2 linked regions of the Lepisosteus oculatus genome follow. The protein of the gene in region 2 binds, or shares a complex with, the protein of the main gene of each other region. Links are inferred from orthologs where the notes say so. Each region holds a gene or a part of one and is shown on either strand. Other genes may lie near its edges.

Region 1 (7,641 bases), on a different chromosome or scaffold from region 2:
AGAACGTCAGAACCTTACATGTCCTTTTTTCTTTCCTGTTGATATACCTAATTTTTAAGCATTTGTGACCACTTGAACTTGCAGTTATAAGCCTTATATCTGCCCTCATTCTGTTTCCATATCCTTCCCTGACCCTCATTTCCCCCTATTTTCCCATGATCATGCAGCCATTTCTTGAAAGATCCCAGCTCATCTGCTCTAACAACAAGGCTGGGCAGTTTGCATGACATACCTATCCCATAAGACACAGACATTTACAATACCTTGTGAACCTTAAAACTGCCTGTGATGTGAACTGGAACATAAATGATTTTTGGAGTACTACATAAAATATTTTAAGGATTCCTAAACACAGGAAAATGATTCAGATTTTGATTTAAAAAAATGTTGCAGCAGAAACCACAAGACACGATTCTTCATTGGTAAAGATTATAAATAGTATTAACATTTACGGCCTCACAATGCGGATGGGCGGTATTGGTGAACCCTCCTGCTTATTTCCGAGGCCACTTCAAAAAAGCGACAGAGGAATGGAAAGAAGTGAGTGTGTTAAAGGAAACTGAAAATACTGTAGTTAGCAAAACTATGAGAAGCAATACAGATATGTATTTGTGGATATATTTAAAGAATCATATATTATATTCTGTATATTATAGAAAATGATAATGTAAAGGATTATACTAACGATTCTATGTATATTTTTTTGAGAGGATGTTTGAGGTCTTGACGTCTAGGAGCGCTGTTTGAAGACTTGGGTTCGTGACAAGCTTAAGAAAGTGATTCAAACGAATCACAATATATGCAGAATTATGTACCTACATCACTTTAACAGCAGACTATCCCTTGTTAAGAAAGCTTTCTCATAACATGCTATCTCCAAATCTCATTCCAATAAGCCCAGGGGGGAAAAAAATGATATTTTCCGATTGTTGTCCCTATGATAGATAGAACTGTGTGATTACATCCCATTACGGAGGAGAGCTCTAACACCCACCAGTGAATCTGGCAATGGCAGGACTAATTGGATATACTGTTTGCATAAGTTCATCCTGCCCTAGCCACTGAGCGCAGCGGCAATGTCGGGGCTCTGGAGAGGAACGGAGAGGCGTGTGACGCAGAGTCCGGAGCTGCGCTGTCTTCGGCGGGGGTGGGGTGGAGACAAGAGGCGAGATCACTGCCTGCCCAGCACTGACAGCAGCGGAGCAGACGCCGACGCAGTCAGAGACGGTAGCTGTATGGTACAAAACCATTATACCCTTTTCTCTTCTTCCTAGGGACCGGCTTTATGATTAAGCTACAATCTTCAATGAGTAAGCATATCCCTGTAAGTATCCCTCTTTTTTTAATAAAAGATATCTTGTTTTTTTTTCTAGTCCTTATCCTACACTGTGATACAATTTGGCTACATTGTGGCCTCTTTTCTAACTTGCCATTATTCGCCAGCGTGTCTTTCTTAGGGGGAGGGTAAATTCTGTCGGTTACATGTCACACGTTTTTTATGATTTACTTATCGCTGTCAATGTATGAGTGCGTGGTTGCGAATTTAATACTGGTTTCTTGCGCTGGTTGTTAAATGAATGCCGGCGCGGATCGTGAAGGCACGCCTGGGCAAGACCGCCTACTGCATGCCTGGGAACGGGTTCCTAGGGCAATTTCTCATGGTAAACAGTTTAATTTAGCAAATGCTTCAGTAACTGTGTTGCATATGTCGTATGCAACATATGCTGGGTGCTGTTTATTATGCTCATGACGATTTATAAAGACGATTCCGTTTTCAAGACGCATCTTAATCGGAGTCCAGTGATTAGGCCTCAAACGACAGAGGCAGAAATTACAGGCTACACAAAGAGCTGCATTCGCCCGCTCCCTCCCGATGTGTCGGGTTTATGTTAGACCTAAGTGCTTCTATTCTGTACATATCTGGTTTAACCTCACAAAACACGTTTTTATTTTTTTCTGATTCCAAACATGAGAAAATAGCCATTTTCTCCCTTTTACAGCAGGTATGGGGTGGTATACCCGCCCGGTGCAATCGGTTCATTGATTCCCCCCTCTTTTCTCACCCTCGTGTATTTTGTGTGTGTGTGGGGGGGGTTGGGTTAAAAAAAAACATAATCGGCGTGTACAAGTAACATCAGGAAAATAAAACTGAGACATAGAACACTAAGGGAAACAAATCGCGTTCGGGAACATGGTGGCGGACCTGCGCGGCTCCCGACTGGAAGCCTGTTTAATCCAGTTCGGTCTCAGAAGTAGGGCACGGGTTTGCCCTGGATCTCCCGGTTTATCATCGGCGCCGGTGCCCGGTACCGCGGGGGCCAGCAGCCTCTCTCTGTATGTAGGCATTTGAGCCGCGGCGGACGCCTTGAATTTGCCCCGAGAAGGAAATTATTACCACAGTGGGATATGCTACACAGTAGCTAAATTGTACATCAAGTGATGCTTCGGGATACGTTGCGCTACAGCGAGGAGGCGGAGCGGGGGGATTCAAGCAGGAACCTGCTCACAAAATGGCCTTACAGGAACGTGGTCGAAACTGCTAGTGCTGTAAATAATTAGGGCTCCCCTCTGATTTAAGCTTCCTGTTAGTAGCTTATAGGAAAGGGAATGTCGAGTTTTCCGTGGAGGGAAATTTCCGCCAATTCTAAACATTTTATTAGCATTGGATTGTCAAAGTAACACTTGTTTCCACGATAAGGGTGTAGATTTTAAAAAAATACGTTTAGCTTTATCAAATATTAAATATTTAAAGTCGTGGCTTTAAATAAGGAACGCACGGTTAAAAAAATCCTGAAGCGACCCTTTCCGTTTTTACGACTATAACTAACCGGTGCTAGCAGGGAGAGAGAGAGAAAGCAGCTCTTGCGCTGAAATCCGTTGCTCCCTGAGCGGGCGGCCTGGTCCAGTGAAGTGCGCAGCGTCACTTGTGCCACTACAGGTGGACGCCATGAAGTCATCTTGACTCTTAAACCATTTTTTCTTTCATCTGCCAACAGATGTAATCACATGATATTAAGAGTCGCTGCTCAAGGCCTGATTCATATAAAAATGAGCCTTATGTCGAGTGTAGAAAAATGTTTTGCCGTCTCATGACTATGACTCATTGATGCTCATCTGATAGATTCGTTGTGTGAAGTCCCTTTTGATTTGAATGCAGAAGTCTTACCTGCAACCTGTTTCCCCTGAATTAGCTGGACAAAAGTGTTATTCACAGCACAGAGGTGGCTGGCTGATACTTCAAACCTTGCCCATAACTAATATAACTTTTTTTTTTAATGGTGTGCATAGATAATTATTTTTTCTTTCCCAACAGCGTAGGTTAATTTTAAATGTAGCATGGTAGTGTTTTGAGGAAGTGCAGGTGGAGAAAGTGTGACCGGGAAGCATGGCCCAGATGTAACAAGGCAGATGTCTCTCTCAAAGGTTTTTACATAGTGCTCCTCTCTCGGGCTAGGTGCTCGTTCTCTTAGATGTTTTTTCTTTTACAAGTGACGTAGTAATTATCAGTCCTAGAAATATGTACAGCCACATTTCAGATCTTGCACATCAGTTGTTGAAGCGTGGGGCACTATAGTCTGAAACTGTTCCATGTGTTTCGGGAGTATTCACAGGGACTCCTCAATGTGATGCACAGCCAGGAGGTTAAGTGCTCACGAGAATTGTATTAACAGTCCAGCTAATCACTGGCATATTCTGGTCTCTGATTCTGTGGTGCCTTTGCAATAAGTATTGCTAAGCAGTGACTGAAAGAGGTTAGGACTTTAACAGAGGTTTTTAAAGTAGATATGACTTAATGGTTGATACTTGGTTTGTAATGGTAAAGATCCTGTACACTTTACAAATTCTTTTGCTGAAATACAAATGACTTTGTGCAAAATGGTAAAAACAAGTTATTTTAAGGTAAAATATGCACATACTATTCTTGTTACAATTCCATTTTATGTCTGAAACCAAAAAGATTTTTTTAGACAATCATGGCTGAAGAACACATGCTTTACTTCCACGCTTCCCCATCATCCTGAATAGATCTTAATTTGTTTAGATATTTAAGTATTTATCTTCATTTTCTTCCATCTTATTCACCTGTTGGAGGTTAGCCGTACTTCAGTTTGCGTACTTGCAGAAAATGCCAAATGGTCTATAAAATAGTGCATATGAATCATGGTTGTGTGATTCAAGTACTTTTTAAGTGTTCATTTTGTTGAAGGTTTATTACTATGCAACTGGGACATTTAATGACGCAGCACATTGAGAAAAGCACAATAAAGCAAAGCTGAAGACTTGGCTTTTATAGCCACAGGTGTAGATTATGATTTGTTACTTGCAATTCAGCACAGTTTTCTGCCTTCAAAAATGTTTTAAAAAACAACAATCAAAGGAGTTCCAGCTTTTTGATTTGTATTTGCAACAGTTCAGTCAGGATAAATGTCACATTCAACATATCATCTTTAGAAAGTGTTTAGCAGTGGGGTCGGCCAGGGTTCCTGTGAACACGTGTTAACGCTTGTTCTGGTGGTTTCTCTTGCAGCAGTTCTGTGGTGTTCTTGGTCACACATTTATGGAGTTTCTGAAGGGCAGTGGAGACTACTGCCAGGCACAGCACGGAGTCTATGCAGACAAGTGAACTCTAGAAATTCATTACTACTCCACACAGAAACCCCCTTAGGAGCTGAGGCGGCGCTGATAACCTGGATAAGAAGCATTGAATAGTCCCGGCAGAGCACTTGTCTTCACAGAGGAGCTCGAACCTGGATGGGGTAACCTTTGGTGCACTGCCTTCTTTGTTGGCTTCAGTATTACTGGAATCAAGAAGATCTGCTGCTTTTTATTTAGTGATCCATTACCAGCCACCTACCCCCAGCTTATTTTCCTAGACCTCATCTTTGCAGAGGAGAGAATTTCCAGTGGAGTACAGTGAAAGAAAAAAAAGTCTTTTTTCCCATATATCCACGTCAATTTGTATTGGATATTTTTAAGCATTTTTTGTTATTATTGTTGTTCTTTATTAAATTTGTACAAAACCTTTTTTAACAATGGCCCGAATGAATCGCCCTGCCCCTGTGGAAATCAAGTACAAGAACATGAGATTCCTCATCACCCACAACCCCACTAATGCCACTCTGAACAAGTTTATAGAGGTGAGTTCCGCACACCATCAGAAAAATATCTGTGACACCCATGATTTATAGAAAGAAGAACTGTAGCTTTACTCTCCATAATATAAACCAGTGATCCTTTTTCCCATGTATAGATTGAATCCAGTTTTTTTAATGACGTTTATAACACAATTTTGGGAGGGATTATAGCAGCCAATTTCCATCAGCCTTGGCTGTCAGTAATTTGTAATAATTTCCTGACAGTATTGCCTCACCTAAAACATTATAAACACTATGCTTAATCCCCTTCTCCCTTAAATATATTACATTAAATAGATATGATACAATTTTTTACGTTGAATACAGGGGCTTGCTGGAATGTTTGTAATCTGTAGCTCCTCAGTACTTGGTCGTTAAAGATTCCATGGCACTTTTCATAAAAACCTAGCGGTTAAATTCCACTCTTTTTTCCAACATTTTCTTAAAGTTCCCCCTTAATTCGGCTGGTAAAGCAGTTTCTCCTTTCTCCACCTGATCTGTTGTTTGCCTAGTGTCACATAGTGTGTCCTTAAAGTCACCTCTGCTTTAGTACCAGATGAAGTAGGTTCCACTTCTATATGGTATTAAAAATTAGTTTTGACTTGAATGCGATTTTGACTTGTTGCTTTGTTTTAAAGGAACTGAAAAAGTATGGTGTTACCACGGTGGTGAGAGTTTGTGAAGCTACCTATGATACATCTCTGGTGGAAAAGGAAGGCATTCAGGTTTTGGTAAGTGCTGAGCAGGTTCATTTATTGGGAATATCCGGTTCCATTTTCCCACTTGGAATCCATGAGTTCAGGTGAAAAAGATTAGTGGTGGGTCTGAATTAGACCAATGCAACAATTAATCCATTTGTGCTTTATTTCATTTGGTAAAATGAATGGAAACTTCAGAGTGGTGACGAATGTTGGGAGAGGGATAGTTGGTTTGTTAGATTAGACTTGACATTTTCTTTTTCCTCAACACTGCCACGTTTCTATGCAAAAACTATATAATCAAGTTCAAGGTAACTGCAACAGCTGCTTTTAAAATCAATTATTTTGGTTCTCTGTATTTTGTTCTGTTTCAATAATCCTGTTAGAATAACTTTATATTCAGATAAAATGTATCTGAGCATTAAGGTTCAGCTTTGGCTGAAATTCTAGCCTGTTCTCATCAGACATTGGAAGCTAAGCCAAGCTGAACCTGGTCAGTACTGGCTGAGAAACTAAGGAAAATCAAGTTGGTCTTGAAGTGGTGTTGGTGGAAAATCAGAGGTGCTCTTCTTTCCTCACCGAAAAGTGGTGACCAGGAACACGTTAGGAGAGCTGAAGGAGGCGCCATCTTCTGATGAGGTGTTAAGCCAAGGTTTCTTTTTACTCTGTCATTTAAAGATCCCATGACATTCCATGGCCCGGTTGTTGAACTCATTTACCTGTGTGCAGGTGGGGCTCTAGAATTGTGGGTTCAAGCCTGTGGGTGATGTCACTAGCTGACTGCCAGGGGGAGTTTCTTAACAGCGCACTGTGGTGCACAATCGACTGAGTGCTGTCAAGGTTATGGCAGGATTAGTTGACCGGGGTGCGATCACTGCCATCACTGATCTCTGCAGCCTTGTACTTGCTAAAATTTTCTCAGTCTAGCCTAGTTTACCTCAGTTGTTGAAAGTTGTTGCCTCACTTCTTTGCCTAATCTGCTGTGTGGTGGGACTGTTGGCCCATAAGGGCTGCTCTGTGACAACCAGGTCGGAACTGTACTTCAGAGGTCGATGGAACATGTCCCTCATGGATGAGAAGCACTTTAGAATCCTTAGGGGTGAAAAGCACTTTATAAATGTGAGGAATTGGTAGAATTTCATGCTTTTCTGCTCTGAATGTTTTCTACAGGATTGGCCATTTGATGATGGAGCCCCACCTTCCAACCAGATTGTCGATGACTGGCTGAACCTCCTGAGGGCTAAATTCCGTGAGGAGCCTGGCTGTTGCATTGCTGTCCATTGTGTAGCAGGACTTGGCAGGTGTGTTTTGTCTTCATTGTGTTGCTCTTTGAAGAGCAGCCAATATGAAGTAACATTTATTTTGTTACTAATCTTCCATCCACTCTTTTAACATCTCAATTGGCAAAACAAATGACCTGTTCTAAGATGATTCTTCCTTTGGAAAGTTTATTGTAGCTATTGTTTTTATTGGTTCTAAAAAACGGTTTAGTTAATGATAGAGGTGTCATTTACATGTCTTTATTTTACAGAATTTTTTTATATGTTGGCAGCACATAATTTGAGAGTCAGGCTTAAAATCTTAAAAATATACAACACTTTGGTAAATGTTGTTGCATATGTTTGAAACAGTACATGACCCACTTTAATACTGAAGAAATATCAAGTCTTAGCCAATTTGAATTAAGGGGAGGAGTATGTACATTTAATCAATATATTGCAGGCATTTTGCATTATAATTTGGTCAATGAAATGACTTTTTTTTTAATTTCTGTCCAAAATTGCTTTCCAGAGCTCCAGTCCTGGTTG
Region 2 (7,638 bases):
GGACATGTACTGTATGAGCTCTGGATTGGCTCATCCACTTAATCCTGTAGCCATCACTTTTGGCACTTTTGGAAAAAGATATGAGACATGTAAAAAGAGCTACAGACAGCAGCTGCTGACACACCCCCCCACCGAAAAATGAGTGTCAAAGCAGTAGAGCCATGTTTACAGTCAAAGTATAACAACACCTTGGAATGAAAGTGTTTCGATTACGGCACAATGCAGTGCAGGCAGGACTGCCCTCTGCTTGCCACAGCAGCTCCCTTCAGTGACCAGTGCATCAGGCCGGCACAGGCTCTCTTCGGTGTCTGTCTCCTGCTGTGCACTGCAGCTCTCCTGTGCGTGCCTTAGCTCTGCAGGACACAAGCTCATCTCCGAGGCCAGGTATGATGTTTCCATCTCTCTCATGTCCACCCGGCCAGCCTGAATGTATCATCTGGACACTGCGGAACAAATAGAAGGGAGAAATAACTAATGAGTCTGTTCCTGTATCCAAAGGCTATGTTGTGACTTGTGATTGTAAACATCTAGAATTTAGAATGTTGTTTTTGACAAGGACTAAGATCATGTATTGTGCTGCATTTTCAATCTTTTGCCACCGAAATGTAAATTGTTACACTTCAGTCTGAAATATGATTCTCTAAGCAACCAAGTTTGTGAAAAAGATGTCGGCTTGGCTAAGTGTCACCAGTTGAAGATAATTGTAACACAGCATGCACACCTTAATTGCATGACCTTAGGTTCATGTTCAGTAAAGAAAAAAAAGTTGTTGTTTTTTTAAATCAGATTTGCCCCAGCAAAGCAAGTTCCAGAAAATAGATTGTTTTATGTTTTTTACTTCTGTGGTTTTTAATTTTTACTTCAGTTTCATTCTGGTAATGGTAAATGTTTTCTGTCTGTGTAGTCAAGGACTTGAATTGTCATAAGGGGAAAGTGCTCATTTGAAAAAAGTTTGCATGTGTAGCCTTGTATACTGGGGACTAAATTATAAAAACCCACAGAGAGCAGGGTGGGTATACATAATACACATTACCTTGCGTATAAGTTAGGAAAGTTTGCTGTTTTGGTGCCAACTAAAAATATCTTTCTTCAGAGATGTTGTTTCCTGCTTATGTTTAATTTTATATTTAGTGATCACTTGTATCCATTTAATATACAATGTATATTTCACTAAGGGTGCCTCTTAATGTGATCCTTTCCTTCGAATGAACAAACAGAATAATTTTCTATAATTATAAGATTGCATTAATCCTCTGTGCAAAAGGCTGAACTGAACAAGGCAATAAACAATACTCTGCTATATGTGTGTTTTGGTTATTTTTGGCTTAAAACATCCTTTTTATGCATTTCACATTTTATTGGTTCATGATTTTTCCAACACTTTCACTTTCATTGTTTTTCTGTAATGTGGTGAGCAAGTTTGCTTTTGTCACTGATAGATAAGATCACTTTATTGGCCATATACAATTTCTTGTATTATTAATTTGTCTTTTTTTTGGCATACCCCATCTTCCTCTCCATGAAACACACAGTCGGGGACAGAAGCTTGGGGTCAGAGCACAGGGTCAGCCATTTATATGGCACTCCTGGAGCACTTGGGGTTAAGTGCCTTGCTCAGGGGCCCAACAGAGTAGGATTCCTCTGCCGGCTGCAGGATTTGAACCGGCAACCTTTCAGCCACAGGCGCAGATCCTCAGCCACAGAGCCACCACGCCAATGCTTCCATCCGCTCTGCGTGTTCAGTGATGTTCAGTCTGTACTTCAGAAACCCCAGCCCTTCTATGACAACCGAGAGAAACTGAACCCCCCTTAAAGACTTAATTTTTACGTTAATTATAATACAGTATTCAATAATTAATGCCTTTTCTAAATATAGGCCAGAGTGTCTATGCAGTACTACCATTTGTCACAAGAGGGCGAAAATGGCACACGACAATTTGCCATTAAAACCTGTTTGTCAAACCATTGAGAAAAGATCCGTTTCTGGACTTTCTTTTTTCAACAGAGCAGTGGAATGTTCTAGACTGCAGAGCGGATGGAAGCATGTTGTCTGTTATACAAAAGGTAGTGGGAGCTTGGGCCCTGGCTCAATACCTAGGGTGCTGTCTGCGTGGAGTTTGTGTGTTGTCTCCTGGTTTGTGTAGTTTCCTCTAGGTGCTCCAGTTTCGTCTCCCAGTTCAAAAACTGTTGCTGGACAGAATAGGCTTCAGCTCCAGCTGTCCCCAAACACTATAATGGCTACATCAGTTAGAAAATGGATGGATGGACATCCAGGTTTACAAAGATATTAGAGATTTTTGTACTAACCAGTTTTCTTCATACACTCTTTTAACTTCAAGCAACTTTTTCCCTCAGTGTACTGGATTACCTCCTCCTAAGTTATGGCCGCAGGACATCCCTTCAAAGGTATATATTTTATCCTGTTTAAAAATAAACTCACTTCTTGATGCAGTTTTCCTCTGTTTCTCTTTTTCCTTTACTAGTGATTTGATGAGTTCTTCGTTTTTTGCGGGAGGAATCTCAAAAAGAATTTTTTGGTAAAAATATTGATTCTAATATATATATTTTAATTTAAATTACTTTAAATGTAGACGTATAAGCTATTTTTAATTGCTTGATTATTCTTTTGGCCTCTGCAGAAATAGAATCACGCACATTGAGAACATGTGCGAAGAGGACTCTAAAATAAAGCTGCAGGACATGTTAAAACTTACAAATACCTGCGCTATTTAAAAAAAAACGTTTATAGACAAACTACAAAACGGTTTGAGGGTGATTGATTCCATAAAACCCTTTGAAATGGCACAACTCGGGGCTGCTTCGGGTCAGAGTGGTGAGGAATTTGTTGCTACACGTGCTGCTCATGCCATCGCCACGCCCCGTGTTATCTTTGACACGCCCCCTCAGCGCCGCAGTTCGGAGGCCACGCCCCTGGGTCTCCGCCAGCGTCCCCTTCACACGTTTGGGGAAGTTTCGCTTCTCAGAGGAAGATTTAAGATATCTAATCTGATCTATTTCAGTGTTCGCTGATATGTTTATAAAAAGGAATTTGTTGTGCTATTTATACTGGATTTTAATGTTCTGTTGCTTACATATAAGGCACTGAACGGTCTCGCTCAAGGTTACTTTAGGACTTTTATTGCTTGAGTATAGTCCAACACTTGATCTGAGATGTGCTGATTCAGGTCTTCCTTTTTTTACTTGCGGCCAGGCTCACACGATGAAAGCCAGAGCACCACGATTTTAAAACTCACTGCCAAAAATCGGAGACTATGTATCCGTTGCTTTTTTTTACTAAACTTTTCATGTATGATTTTACTTTTGGTATTATTTGGTCAATTTACTGAGTGATTGTTTACTGACGTGGTGTTTTATGCGTGTACACTCGTGCAGCGCTTTTTTTATAACACTTCTAACTATAGCATTAACTCGTTTTTTCATGTTTTATTTTAGAATTTGCTTTGAAAGATAGCCTAAACCTCAGACAGTTCAATGTGTTATTAAAATACAGATGCCTGGATTATCCCAGGCGGTTGATGTTTTGTTTTTATGAGTGTTGCTCACGGACGTTTGAATTAGTGCATTGTTATTAAATTGTTTGATGATTAACTAATCAATAAAATACAAAGATAAAGGCACCTGTGTTTAATATCTACAAAGATTACAAAGTAATATTCCGCACCTTCTTTAAAGCTGTAGCTGAACCCAAGATACTAGGATCCTTAACGTCTAAAGCGTAGGTTTGAACATTTTGTTTAGACAACCACTACTACTTATCAAGATGTTGATTTCTTTTCTTTTTTTACTTAGAAACGTTTTATGTAATCGGCGTTTGGTATGCTACGTGACGTCCGGTAGTCGGTGTGTTACCGGTAGTAATATTACCATTCACCTACATTACTCTCAGAATTACAGCAGTTTAGGTATTTTGGATGTCAAGGTGACCGAAAGATGTACAATATGTGTTATGTTTACCGACTGCCGAAAGGAAAAACGAAGGGATTACGTCAGTTTACTATTCCCTTATGAAACTGGAAGAAAGAACAGGTACAGATTTATGCGAACATTAAACACATGAATAAAACAAAACACAACCAACTGCTCTTAACGTAGACGGTGAGATGCTTAACAGCAAAAACACACACGTCGTTACTGATGGCCTTTTTTCTTCCTAGCTTTCAAGGGGATTTCATTGAAGTTATGTATTAGGTCATCACACATCTTTGCAGAAAGAACTAGCATGAAGCTTCATTATTGTGAAAAGTCACAGTAAAACTACTCTCAATTTAAAACGGCTCTAAAGCCCTTATTTATCATAATTGCACCTGTTATCCACCTGCAGTCTCACGCCTGTCTCATTGACGGATGTTTCAGGAAGTGGGCAGGAACAACACCTTCATTGGTTGCCGAGATCCCCTCCCCTTCATCAGACCTACCCCCTCCTACACCTTATTTGCTGCCTTCAACCCTCCGTCAAAATAAGTCACGAGGACGGCCCTGGGCAGTAACTCCGCCCCCATATGTTTGTTTTCTTTTCTTATTGGCTTTTGCCTCGGAAAACACCCCGCCTCCTTATAAAATCGGTAGTTGATTGGGTGCGGGGGCCGCCCGTCTTTGGGCATCACGAGGAACACGAGTTCATACTGTGCTTGCTCCGCTGTGTTGTTGGTCAGAGGAGCTGGAGACGCGTGGTGGGAGCAGACAGGTCTGATGCATGAGTCAAGGAAACCCGCAGAGGAGATGAAGGCGGACTCCGATTGGCTGTGATTTTTAAAAGCCCTCTTCTTTTAAAAGCGGTTGCCCACAATCAAGATGGCAGAGCGCTCGGCCACAGTGCCCACTTTAAAGATGGCGGCGCTCAGCCGGGTCCGAGTTCTGGCTCTGGTATTCTTTACAGTCAGCGGCTGTTTGGTGAGCTTGTCCAGCGGCGAGGAAGGGGCAGAAGAGACGGTTATCATTGGGCTCAGACTAGAAGACACAGACGACGTTTCCTTTATGGACGGGGGGTCCCTGCGGGTCAGCGAAAGGACCCGGGTCAAGCTGAGAGTCTATGGGCAAAACATTAACAACGAGACGTGGTCCAAAATCGCCTTTACAGAGCATGAGCGGAGCAAAGTCGTTGGCAACATTGACAGCACCACTAGGGATAATAAGAGCAAAGAGGATACCTCAAGCTATCATCCCTGTGGCATTAGGACTTCGGATATTATAATTTTGCCCAATATTGTCTTAAATAGAAAGACTTCTGGCATAGTGGAAATTGAAATTAAGCCTCTGCGGAAAACGGAGAAGAGCAAAGCCTACTACTTGTGCATTGCCATGCCAACACCTGCTGTGTCTGGCGTGCACGACCCATGGACTGAGACCACCTGGATCTACCATGACGGAGAGGACACGAAAGTGATAGTGGTGGAGGAGAGGAAGTTCTTGCTGCCCTTTTGGCTGCAGGTCATTTTCATCTCGCTGCTGCTCTGTCTCTCGGGCATGTTCAGTGGGCTGAACCTGGGACTGATGGCGCTGGACCCCATGGAACTACGCATCGTCCAGAACTGCGGCACGGAGAAGGAGAAGAACTACGCCAAGAAAATCGAGCCGGTCCGGAGTCAAGGGAACTACCTGCTCTGCTCGCTGCTCCTGGGGAACGTGCTTGTGAACACCACCCTGACCATTCTGTTGGATGACATCGCAGGCTCGGGGTTGATAGCTGTGGTGGTGTCCACCATCGGGATCGTGATCTTTGGCGAAATTGTGCCCCAGGCGATCTGCTCCCGGCACGGTCTGGCTGTAGGTGCGAACACCATCTTTCTGACCAAATTTTTCATGCTGCTCACTTTTCCTGCGTCGTACCCCGTGAGCAAACTCTTGGACTGCGTCTTGGGGCAGGAGATTGGCACGGTGTACAACAGGGAGAAGCTCCTGGAGATGCTGAGGGTCACAGATCCCTACAATGACCTGGTCAAAGAGGAGCTCAACATCATCCAGGGCGCCCTGGAGCTCAGGACTAAGACCGTGGAAGATGTCATGACTCCCCTGCGCGACTGCTTCATGATCACCGCCGACGCCATCCTCGACTTCAACACCATGTCTGAGATCATGGAGAGTGGGTACACTCGGATCCCCGTCTACGAAGGGGAGAGATCTAACATTGTGGACCTTCTGTTCGTTAAGGACTTGGCCTTTGTCGACCCGGACGACAGCACACCATTGAAAACCATCACCAAGTTCTATAGCCATCCCTTGCATTTTGTTTTCAATGACACCAAACTGGATGCCATGCTGGAGGAATTCAAGAAAGGTGGGGCAGTATTTTTTTTCACTCACTTTGTTTACCTCCTTCAGATATTTATTGCATTTTAATGTTTCACCTTGGCAAGGGTTGAGTTGTAACACTTCTAGTGATGAGTGCTCTGATAAAGTGCGCCGAGTCTTTGTCATAACTGAGCGTGAGATTGGCATAGGACATGTCAATGTACAGTTATTTCCCTGATTACCATGGGGAATAAATGCGGTCTGATGATGCGGCTGTCTATAAGGTGTTTTCACAAGTATTTCCGAAAGTAGTTCGGTTTCTGGAAAAAGGTTGGTTCCCGATTTGGAACATCAGACACTTATCGCGATCTACTGTATATCAACCAGGATTCTGTATGAGGTTTTGCTGTTTTTGCACTTCTTGCTTCCCCGGTGTTCAGATGGCAAAGCGCTGCGCATTTTCATGCGGTAAACAAACAACAGTGCATCTTGCATCCTGCCACTCGCAGTCCTGTCGGGAGGGTGAATAAATTATGCCCATTCCCGTCGGGGGTTTGTTTGTTTGTTTGTTTTTGTCTTCATCCGCTCTTGTGGCTTGTGGAAAGTACGTGTGGCGGGTTGCAGGTCGCCAGGTGCTGCAGCGGTGCAGTGCCCCACACGCTGGCTGAGAGGACCGGGCGCAGGCACTGTGGGGGCTGAGCTGCCAGAGGGTACCAGTGCTGCCTGCTCAGCGATTCACGGGCTCATCAGATTGCTGTTTGAGTCCGAGGTGTACCCATCGCATCTACTGTGTTCAAAGGCGAATTGATCCAAACACTTATTACCTGTACGCTACCGCCACGACCCGATATGCACAAATCGCAATCACGCGGACGATGGGATCGTCGTGGATCCAAATCGCATAAAACATATGTATATATTCATCAGTTTCCCTACGGGATCAATAAAGTCTTATCTATCTAAATGTCGCCCAGTTAGATTGAAATTTCGCAGGCCTTATCTAATTTTTCTACGGCGTTTTGCAACTTGATGGCCGCCTGAACGGTTTATTTTATTGCGCAGGTGGCACTGGGGAAAAAAAACCCGTTAATAAAAATCAACTGCACTGATTCTAACCGCTACTGATTTCAAAATAGCATTTTTGAGATCAAACGTAGTTGTTATATTTTCTTTCATTCTCCCGATGAAGCTCCAAACGCCTATTGTATTCTAAAACACGATACACACGTTACACGTGGGCGTTTCAATGAAATATTGTCTAGTATGAGCTATCCATCCAACTTGTTTTTACCTGTAAAACAAATGAAATAATATTATTCCGATGTCAGTGATTTGCAGAAAGGGCAAATGTTTTGTTTGGTTAATGCTTGTTAGTCTTCTACCGTATGT

Evidence for each region. Proteins that work in one complex are often made in the same cells at the same time.
Region 1: the proteins of cnnm2b (region 2) and ptp4a1 are in contact, whole or in part, in a crystal structure (PDB 5MMZ), measured with the Mus musculus proteins. The link is inferred for Lepisosteus oculatus from reciprocal best matches to the Homo sapiens genes CNNM2 and PTP4A1. Residues at the interface, in NP_291047.2 of Mus musculus: Phe526, Asp528, Val551, Asn553, Glu556, Gly557, Asp558, Pro559, Phe560, Tyr561; in NP_035330.1 of Mus musculus: Asp72, Gly73, Ala74, Gly107, Leu108, Gly109, Arg110, Arg137, Arg138, Gly139, Ala140, Phe141, Asn142, Lys144, Gln145.

The regions. Positions count from the first base shown.
Region 1 is NC_090712.1:20,374,933-20,382,573, forward strand, and holds the start of ptp4a1 (protein tyrosine phosphatase type IVA 1), read left to right. Parts: upstream 1-4,623; 5' UTR 4,624-5,033; coding exon 5,034-5,138; intron 5,139-5,773; coding exon 5,774-5,866; intron 5,867-7,003; coding exon 7,004-7,134; intron 7,135-7,624; coding exon 7,625-7,641. UniProt on the Homo sapiens protein: Protein tyrosine phosphatase which stimulates progression from G1 into S phase during mitosis. May play a role in the development and maintenance of differentiating epithelial tissues.
Region 2 is NC_090699.1:36,009,707-36,017,344, forward strand, and holds the start of cnnm2b (metal transporter CNNM2), read left to right. Parts: upstream 1-4,619; 5' UTR 4,620-4,812; coding exon 4,813-6,295; intron 6,296-7,638.